Drosophila melanogaster: one gene and its partner. The protein of the gene in region 2 interacts with the protein of the main gene of each other region in a pairwise test. Each region holds a gene or a part of one and is shown on either strand. Other genes may lie near its edges.

The links. Proteins that work in one complex are often made in the same cells at the same time.
Region 1: the proteins of CG11334 (region 2) and gish interact in a two-hybrid assay, tested with the Drosophila melanogaster proteins (one large-scale study listed by BioGRID).

What each region holds. Positions count from the first base shown.
Region 1 is NT_033777.3:16,271,188-16,276,043, forward strand, and holds the start of gish (gilgamesh), read left to right. Parts: upstream 1-1,813; 5' UTR 1,814-2,143; intron 2,144-2,964; 5' UTR 2,965-3,956; coding exon 3,957-3,982; intron 3,983-4,856. Other genes in the region: Mat89Ba (maternal transcript 89Ba), read right to left, coding at 1-1,052, 1,109-1,147.
Region 2 is NT_033777.3:31,459,314-31,464,651, forward strand, and holds CG11334 (uncharacterized protein), read right to left. Parts: upstream 3,725-5,338; 5' UTR 3,517-3,724; intron 3,155-3,516; exon of another isoform or gene 3,083-3,154; intron 2,866-3,082; exon of another isoform or gene 2,722-2,865; intron 2,656-2,721; 5' UTR 2,633-2,655; coding exon 2,501-2,632; intron 1,844-2,500; coding exon 1,608-1,843; intron 1,550-1,607; coding exon 1,317-1,549; intron 1,251-1,316; coding exon 1,087-1,250; intron 1,029-1,086; coding exon 699-1,028; 3' UTR 509-698; downstream 1-508. Other genes in the region: Loxl1 (lysyl oxidase-like 1), read right to left, coding at 1-408; CG11333 (uncharacterized protein), read left to right, coding at 4,037-4,171, 4,229-4,438, 4,501-4,770. UniProt on the Drosophila melanogaster protein: Catalyzes the interconversion of methylthioribose-1-phosphate (MTR-1-P) into methylthioribulose-1-phosphate (MTRu-1-P).

The DNA.
Region 1 (4,856 bases), about 15 Mb from region 2:
ATGCGCTGCGTATTTAGGTACACAATAAAAGCGGCTAAGATGTGGGCACCAAACCCACTGTAACCTATGTCCAGTTGCCTCTGACGCAACCATACTTTAAGGAGCAGCAGGCCGTCCTGAAAATTACGCCTGCTCTTAAAGGCCTTATCCAATTGAGCCTGGTTCTCGGACAAAGTTAGATCAAACAGTACGTTTGCGTTGTAGTGTTGGGTGGAGGGCAGCGGATCTTTCTCGTCCCATTCGTCACCGTAAAACGAGGGCCGAATATTGTTGTTCCAGGGAACAAATCTGCCTGGCTTAAAACTGCTTAATGGGGCAGTGATGAACAGACGCACTTGCAGGTGCTTGTTTACTTGCTTAGTAACTGGGATCAATTCCAGAACCGGCTTAAGCGGGTTGTTAGCATAGTAGTTGAAATTAAACTGATCTTCTGCATAATCTGGGGACTCCATCATCCTCTCCGTCACATAAGTAAGATACAAAGCTCGCTTCTGGTCATAGCGAAGGTTTAGGTAATCTTCTTTGTGCAGGGATTCTTTTGGCATCTCCAGGGCCACATCCACTACAATTTTGGGACCCAGCAAAGTGCCCGTGGCGGCGGCTCCGATCAGATAAGGTTCCCTGGTGGGCTTGGAGAAAACAAATCCGGTCGGCTTTTCAGAAAGCTTCATTGGAACTTCCAAGTGGGTACGCTCCATCAAGCCATCCTTTAGCTGTCGGGTAAAGGCCGTAAAGGATTCAAGCCAGTTTTCAATGAAATCTGTGTATTTCTGCTTTAACTGCAGCTCCTCCAGCATTTCCTTAACTTGAAGCTTAAAGAGATTGGAGTGGAAGAGATTTTGGGTGTCTCGTAGCTCCTTCATCTCCTCCAAAGTGGGCGGCTTTACATTCTTGGTACCTTCTCTCTGCTTGAAGTTGTTCTTCTTTGGTATGGCAGTGGATGGTGGGTCGCTCTTGGCGATTTTGGGTTTTGGTTCATCAAGGTCGCTGTGATCCCCGGCATGTGCAATTGCTTGGGTACCTGTTCGAGCAGCTCCCTTCGGAGAGCCCACCTAAACAAAGTATGTTATAGGCCAAATAGTTTCCATAAAGATCTAGACAATCTTACCAACTTTCCTGGCATGATGTTTCCCTGTACAAATCGCATATAATATAAAATTTATTTACTTGTTGGAGAGAGAGCTAAACTCGCACGTGTTGCAGATGCGGTATTTCAGAATTCGGTATTTCATTAGAGGTTTTTGTATGGTCACCCTAGAACTGGGCAGATTCGTTTTTTAGTCCCAAATCAGCCGCAAAAACAGTGTCGAACGTAATTATAATTAAAATATTGAAAAGGTTTTATACACTAAATAAATTAGAGCAAAATATATTGCATGGTACACAGTTGTTGAATAAGTTACAAATTTAGACAATGTGAAGTGTAAATGTCTATACCAATTGCCGAGAAATCCTTGGATCCAGGACCAATAAATAAGATAAAATTTATAATATTATAAAAACAAATTATCAGTTAAACGCGAAAGATATTACCGTGGGCCTATACAGTTTTAAAGAGTAGATAAACAAATTTACCGGCTAATTGGTTTCGCCAGCAACAGTATTTTAAACAGTATTTTTATTTCATAATTATGTTTAAACATCTTTTATGTAAAGAGGGCTTTAGGTAAGTTCTGTCTTTAGCACAAGTATATAAGTATCTGTTTAAAATAAACGGGAAAAGCTAATTAAATTATCCCATTTTTCTTTTACCAGTAATCAGCATTAAATCAGCCTAGAGTATTTCCCTCGTTTTTCTATACGGTCTTACTCCGTCTCTGTCCATGTATAAGCGTGTGTGTGTGTGTTTGCAGGCAGGGGAAAAAATCGCACCATTTTTCTCGTGCTCTCTTGCGTGCGTTTTTTGGTCTTTCGAGGATTGTTTCGTAGAAAATCAGTTAAACACAAGCCCAGCTTAATTTATAAAAAGTAGTGAACTAAGTTGTTATCCAGAAATCGACGAGCGCACAGTAGCAAATCGAGTTGCAAATTTCAATATTCGGTCCGAACGTGTGTAACTGTGTCTGTGCGTGCGTGCGTGCGTGTGAGAGTGTATGGGTGAAAAATGAGGCGTAATGAAAATGCGTGCAAAACTGTATAAAAGGTAAATCGGCAGTTAAAAGTTGCCTAATTAATAAAGCCCACAAGTCGTTCATTCCGTAAAGATCAAAGCAAACCTTATAAAATGATGCGTTGGCAGAAAGGAGGCCCATTGAAAAAAATATGGCCAAAAGTCGAGTAGTTACACCCTCTCTGCCTCTTTGCCCCTCTGCCTTTCTTGGTTTTCTCTCTCTTATTCTCTTTGGGTCTTTGGCCATCGCCGCCTTGGCTCGTTTTTTGCATCGAATAACAAAACTTGAAAATTTATAAAAATAAACGAAATCACGTACGGAAATATTTACTTCGACCTTGCGGCCCCAGAGATTTTTCCAACAATTTATACGGCGCGGTGGCCATGGCAGCTAATTAGCCTAATTTTCTGTAATTTTCTAAATTTTAATTTGGTACCTTTTAGAAGAGAGTAACTTTCATTTGTGCGACGATGACTTTAAAAGTTTTAAGTTAAAGTCAATAGTAACTCTTACTAAATTAAATGAAAATCAATTGAAAAAAAAAAACAAATTTAGTTAGCGCTCTCATCAGTGCTTTTAGTGTGACCAGCATACGCTATGGCTGGCCTAACATACCAAAAGAAATACCGCAGTTTCGTACATTCATTAGTCTATTTACTATTTTTATTATCCATACAGAATGAAAAATGTTTAAATCGTCGGTAATATGAGTTTTTTTATATTTTGTATCAGTTAACATGATCTTTCGTCAAAACATTCAAAGCGCTTGGAATTAAGACCGATCTTTACGTTTACAATTTTGTTTATTCAGCTCTTTTACAATTGCTTTAACTTTTCCATTCTTATTTTTCAGATTGCTTTGATTTCCACGATCGTGAGCATTAAAAGTTTAGGCGTGATACTGACCGGTTAAATTTCCCTTAATTGAAATTTAACTACATATTTAAACAGCAACATAGTCCCTTTTGCCTAAAATGTCATCAAAAACTGGGAGGAAAAATATCATAGCAACAATCTGAATGAATTCGGAGATTCAGATCTGTTGTCACAAAAATTGTTGGATAAAATGTGCGAAAGTGTGTTTGTCAAATTGTTTAGCCAAAATTATTTGTTTACATAGTTGTTCAGCGTAGCACGAGGCTGTTTTCCTTAATTCTTAACAACATAGATACACTCGCCTTGGCTAATTTACACCGGAACCTAAAGCCGATTAACAATAGGAAAATAGTCCTACGACAAATAGCCCGCCTTTTGACATATGAACACATAACTAAACTACCACACAGCTCACCAAAAACATAAAATAAATTCGGAAAGTATAGCACCAAAGCTGAAATTTCAAGGAGATGCTGCTCAAATTTCATACTTGATGTCAAACAACGACGACCCCATAGCAACAACAACAACAACAGCAGAAAGAGAAGGAAAAGGAACAACTGGAATAACTGTAAGCTAGCGAACAGAGGGAGAGAGGCAATCTCTGTACACACACCTGTCGTCCAGCGGGGGAAAGAGCAAAAGAGAGCGACGGATCTCCCGTGTGTGTTGTTCGCATGCGCGACATGCGCGGACGCTAAGTGAGTGTGAGTGAGTGCGCGAATGCGTGTGAGTGTGGGCGGTGAGGATAATTCGCTCAATTCGCACGCATCCCACAGATCCTGCAGATCCTCCAGTTTGTTCGTCAAACAGAGTCAGCATTTCGGATCAAACCAGTTGCCTGTCAGCAACATTAACAGCCTCAACGTTGGAAAAAAAAAAACAAAAGCAGCAGCGGCAGTCGATAAAAAAATCATTATCAAAATTACGGAAAAGCGATCAAAATTCAAGCGAGATTAGCTAGGCGAAATGCAGCGACGAGAACGGCAAGCAAGGTGAGTTATGATTGTGTAATTGTATATCGATTATCCCCCAAATTCATAAAGAGGTAATGGTTCTAAGACTCTTTCAAAAATTAAAAATTAATCCTACCATTTAAGTTGGCATTGCTTTTGGCTACAGTATTGAAACCCATTTATAGTTTTCTATTGTCAATCGAAAATCAAGATAAGCGAATCTAGCCCACTGGCTTTATCCCTGCTTTTGAATCTGAATCTTTTGTACGCCCCTTAGCTATACCTTCCAACTCCAAGCGGTACTCAAATTTTGACTAGAGACCATAGGCTTGCGACTATTTATAATTTTGCATTGATAAGCCGTGCTAAAAAACCATTGCCACTATCTACGGAAGCGACGTCTGTTCTCATAAATGTTCCATATTCGGTACTACAGTACACTGTTATCAGGCGTAGAAGCGGTTGGATATTTTGATAGCGATAAGATTATGGCTGTGTCGGGAAACGCGTGTTTGCAAGTTTTAAAACCTAACAGTTTTGATTTGGTTGGCTTAGTTAACCAATAGAACTAGCTTTTCTTTCACTCATAAAACTTTTTAAAATATTAACGAATGCAAACTGCGAATTTTTAAAGAAAATGAGTCTGGTTTAAAATAATTTTATTTCGTTTAACATAAATAAATTTCCATAAAGCTAATTCCTTTTAATTTCCTAGCGAATACTGTACATTGTCAAAAGTTCAAGCAACAGATTTAGTTGTAGCTGCCTTTTTTGCCGAACGATTTTATTTTTAGCAAAGAGATGTTTCTATTTAAACTTGTGTGTTTGATTTTATTTTATTTTCGCAAGTGTTTTTGTTGCTTTTGGCTTATGGCGTCTGCTTTTTCTCGCCTCTGGCACGCCAGCCAAACTA
Region 2 (5,338 bases):
GTTTCTGGCATTGCAGAGGTTCGGGTAGTGGGACTCCCGGATGCAGTCGGCTAGGCGACGCTCGGTTCCCCTGCACAGAGTGCCCACCATGCCCCAGGGATACTTCCGGCTATCCCCGTGCTCCGTTCCCTGGCTTGCCTTGGAAGCGTAGCCCAATCCTAGCTGTCGGCACACCACATTTGCCTCCCGCATGCTCCACGAAGTGCTGCAGATCGTACCCCATGAGGCGCCAAAGTCAAAGCTCACCTCCACGCGTCCCTCGCGGAGGACTTGAATACCGGCGAGCGCTGCCTTGTTAGTGGCCAGTCGGACCATCATGTTTCTATAGTTGTTCTGCACGTTGAGGTTGGCCCAACCTTGGCTGAGAACCACTAGGAGCTGCAACAATTGAAACCGGAACGAAGCCATCGCCCATTCAGCCCCTTCTGGTGGAGCACACCCAAATCGCAACCAGTTTTAAAGTCAATGGAACAATGCGCCAGTAGGGTAACAACTGGCAAATGGGGCTACATGTGTAGGAGGTATATTGTGCGTTGTGCTTCCCAACGGATCGACCCACATCTGCTTGGCAGGCGGGAAAACGTTTGTATACAAAACTCAGCTGGCAAAATGCCTATTCCGAGCGCGCGTGCTCTGGTTTCTGCGGTTTCTTTTTTTGGGGGTATGGAGTGCATGTGTAAACTACTTCTGTGCGCCGGTTAGGACTCTAGCAACTTAGTGATGGCCTCTTTCAGTTCCGCCGGCTTGAAGACACCGCGTTCCGTGATGATGCCTGTGATCAGAGAGGCAGGGGTCACATCGAAGGCGGGGTTCCAGCAGTTAATGCCCGGGGCAGCGATGCGGTGCTCTCCCACGTGCGTCATTTCCCGGTCGGGACGCTCCTCAATGATGATGTGATCGCCTCCGGGAATCGCTAGATCGATGGAAGTCAGAGGGGCGGCTACGTAAAATGGCACGTCGTGGTGCTTGGCAACCACGGCAATCTGGTAGGTACCAATCTTGTTGGCCGTGTCGCCATTGGAGGCCACCTAAGGAAGGGAAGAAACCATTAATCGAAAATAGTTAATCATTAAGAGGCTTACTTACACGATCTGCTCCTACAACCACAGCAGCCACATTTTTGGCCCGCAGCAGAGCCGCCACCATGCTATCCAGAACCAGAGTGGCGGGGAATTTCTCGTGGACCAGTTCGTAGGCTGTGAGGCGGGCTCCCTGATTGTAAGGACGAGTCTCTGTGCAATAAACGTGCTCTAGAGCGAAAAGTGCAAAAGTGCGTAAGTAATCAATAAATGTACCAAACTCTATTAAGTACTCACCCAGTTTTCCCAGCTCGGCCAGTTGGCGGACCACTCCCAGAGCTGTACCGTACCCGGCGGTGGCCAGGGAACCCGTGTTGCAGTGGGTAAGCACCCGGACGGATCCCGTCGATCCAGCGGGCGCTTTACCTGCCTTCGCCACGCCCTGTAGGATCGCCTGGGCTCCATTCGCTCCAATGGCACGGTTATCGGCAATGTCTTTTTTTAGCATAGCTTCGGTCGCGTCCAGAAATCTTAAACAGAAGGGGGTTAACTTTGTGTGCTCGTCTCGTAGCCCAGTAAGGAGGTTACCTATGCTTCATTTGGGTCACGTCGATTGCCTCGTCCTTGTAAAGTTCGTTGGCCAGGGTGATGAGCTCGTCGGCTGCGATCTTCATGTTGACCGCCGTAGGCCTGGCGGAAACCAAATAGTTCAACTTTCCCTCAATCTCCTGCCGCAGTGATTTCTTGTTCTCAAAATCCTCCGGGTTGATTTCCACGGCCAGGGAGAGGCAGCCAACGATAGCGATGGCCGGAGCACCACGCACCTTCAAAGAGTCAAAAATATTAGTTTAAATTGCTTGTTTTATTTTTAATGGTCCCTTAAACGCACCCACTTTTCATGACTATATGAAACGAGTACCCATTAATAGTCGTGATCAATCAAGATGCTAAATGAGAATATTTAAAATATCAGGCTGTCATGCTGTTGTCATGTCTCAAATGAGACCGTTGGGGCAATAATTTCGCTGCTATATTGTCGTTATTCATAAACAAGAGCGAAGAGCAGACAGATTAGGTGGGTCAGCCTATCTTGGCTTATCAGATGACGATGCAAAAGGCGGAGTAAATAGCTTACATGGAAAACGGCGAGGCTCCACGTGACAAGGCGCGTGCTCACACATAAACGATCGGCCACCAATGGGCCATGGGCCATCATCTTCTTGTTGGGGCATTAGCCCAGTGGGAACCGATCGCCAAGTGACGTGCGCGGAGTAGTTTTATTTTTGGCAAGCGTTTTTAAATTTTTAATTTCAATTACGTTATTTATAGCCGGGCAAGGGACATACGACAAGCGACAAGAGACAAGCAAGCGATCGTTGCGCAGATTAGGAAATGTACCAACAGGCATTTTAATGGCAATATGCCGGGGAACGTGGACTATTAAGGGAGGCAGGAAAAGGCGCTGGCCTAGGCATTCTCACCTGCATCTTGTTGATGACCTTCCAGCCATCCTCCACTCCTCGCACCACCACGTACTTTGACTGACCGGGCAGGAGCAGCTGGTCGAGGATCTCCAGGCTGCCCCGCGAGTACTTGATCGACTGCAGGCTCATCTCTCCAGGGGATTGTGCTGAAACTGGAAAGGGTTACCGATTAATGTGTGCACTTTTTGGAGGAAGAAGCAGGGAGACGGGCAACCCACTTGGACCACTAGTGGGCGAATCGCTGCCAACTAATCAGTTATTAATCGAAGGCGATCAGTTTCAGTTTCGGTTTCGGTTTGAAATTCGTAGCTTTAAACGCTCCCTAACAACGACTGCCAGGCAAACGGATCGGTTAGCAACTGAACGAGCCTCACGGTTGGGGCGTCGGAAGAGTTTGTTTCGCAGACGAGCGAGAGTGCCGAGAATGGCGCCGGTAGAGCAGGCGGTACACAAAAAGAACACAGTCCGACTTCCACGAATGGTACACTTATATGTAATTTGAGTGATCCTGACGAATAACAATTGCCAACAGACCGAGTTAAACATAACTTCAATAGATGCTATCGATCAGGGTGTCACCTTTTCGTGCAGTGTACTTGGCCAAGGGCGTGGCAGTCTGGCGGAGGGGGGGGGGGGGACCTCGTCCGCGACATCGTCGATTAATTCGAGTCGGGGACATCGGTGGCTGGGGCTTCCCTCCGCCGCTTGCCCCATTGATAAACGTTGGGCGCTCGCGTTGAATTTCTTGCTGACAAGTGTAGCCCGGCAAGAAATTAATCGCGCTGCTTATCTGTCGGCCGGTTATTGGGCAATTTTGAGTGTGCCTTAATTAATGCGACTGCAATTAGTTGGGCCGCAGCGTGACAGCGACTTGTCCGCTGGTCCTGTGCCAATAAACCGCCAGATGGAGTGCGTCGGGAGGAAGGGATTGGGCAGTCATCACTATCCCCATCACCATAACCATCAGCAGTTTTGGTGAATTTGGGGGCAACTGGTGGTTGCCGCAAGCTAACCTTTCGCAGCTGTGTAGCAGCTGAATGACTCCCAACACCAGGTGGTACTGGTGGCTTCCGGGGAGCGAAATCAAAAATCAGGAATCGGTGCTCGCGGTTATCGCATCGGCAACGCGCACGTTTTGTTACTTGATTTATTTTTAATTTTTGATTTACGAATGCTAGTGCGGGCAGTGTGGTCTCCTCTTTTTCCGCATAGAATACCAAAATCTTCCCGTTCCACAACAAGCCTGATTTAGCTGTTTTGTTTGCAACTTTTGTAAATCTTACGGCTATAGGAAGCATTTTCAGGCAAACTCGGACCTATTATCATTTTGTTACTTTTGGTTACTTTCCAGTTATATACAGCAAGTATATTTGTTTAAGCCATAACTCACCATCCCGCCACTTTGGTGAAGTAGAAAGTTCGTGAAGTAGTCCCTAGGTGGCGCTAGCCAAGCGCCAAATTCAAACGGAGCAACCGTTTGCCTTAAGTTTTCAAATATTTCATTTACGCATTATTACACACCCAGAATCAATCATGAGCAAAGTCAGAGGACCAGCTTTGTACCGCCTGGTGCCCTCGAAAACGCTCTTCATGCTGTGCGACGTGCAGGAGAAGTTCAAGCCGGCCATTCCGCTGCTAAGTTCGCTCATCGAAAACACTACTAAACTGGTGAGACAGCGAGAAGTGACAGGATAATGGTCGGGTTCTAATGGATTCACATTCCAGCTGGCAGCCGGCAAGGTCTTCCAAGTGCCACTGCTGGTCACCGAGCAGTATCCCGAGAGGCTGGGCAAGACCGTTTGTGAGTTGGACATCAAGCATGCCTGTGCCAATATTTCCAAGACCATGTTCTCTATGCTGGTGGAGCCGGTACGTAAGAGTATGACTGATATCTTCGGTGGCAAGCCCAAGACGGTGGTGCTTTTCGGTCTGGAGGTGGGTTATGGCTTGAGTTAGGGATTGGTTTAGCAAAATGACCCCGCTTCCACATGATTTAGACACACGTCTGTGTGGAGCAGACGGCCTTCGACCTGGTAAATGATGAAATCGATGTCTGGCTGGTGGCCGACTGCTGTGCGTCGCGTCACAATCAGGATCGGGACTTGGCCTTGGAGCGCCTGCGTCACATTGGCTGCAACATAGCAACTTCCGAGAGTGTGATATTTAATCTGCTGGGGGACAAGAACAACAAGTCCTTCAAGGAGATTACTCCTCTGGTGAAGAAGATCTCCGCAGACATGCAGCTATGCCGCGTCTCAAAAAATTAAGCCTGGCGGCACTTTTCATGTCTTTCGCTCAGTAAACCATCCTTCCAGCCCATGCAGAGTGTGTGTCACCTTAGAAATTATGAGAATTATGAGAGAAGGACCCACCGGTAGGGCGGCCTCCCTGTCCTCGTCAACTCATAAACATCTCGGCCAAGTGGACATCTGAATGGAGGAGCATATGGGGCTACCCCTTTTTGCCCAGGCGGCGCCTTATAAGAACCATGAAGACACACAGATCCCATGCCAGAAACATCCCATCCTATCCCATCCCATCCCATCGATAGAAACAGCAGCTTCTGCACGGCAGTGCTGCCAATTTATGCAATGACTTTGACTCGGCTCTTTGGACCTGGAATTGGCTGGCTGTGCAGTTAAATTTTATGATGCAATCGCAACAATCTCCAGCGCCCATCTAGCCATCTTCAATCGGCGCTGCAGGCATCCCAGCCAGCGCTGCAGTCATCCGGCGGTACAGCGATCGTATCCGAACCAAGTGATGGTGACAATGTAGGCAGGCGTCTGATTGACTCATAACAGGCCACGCAAACATCGCGATCTTGATCGCCAT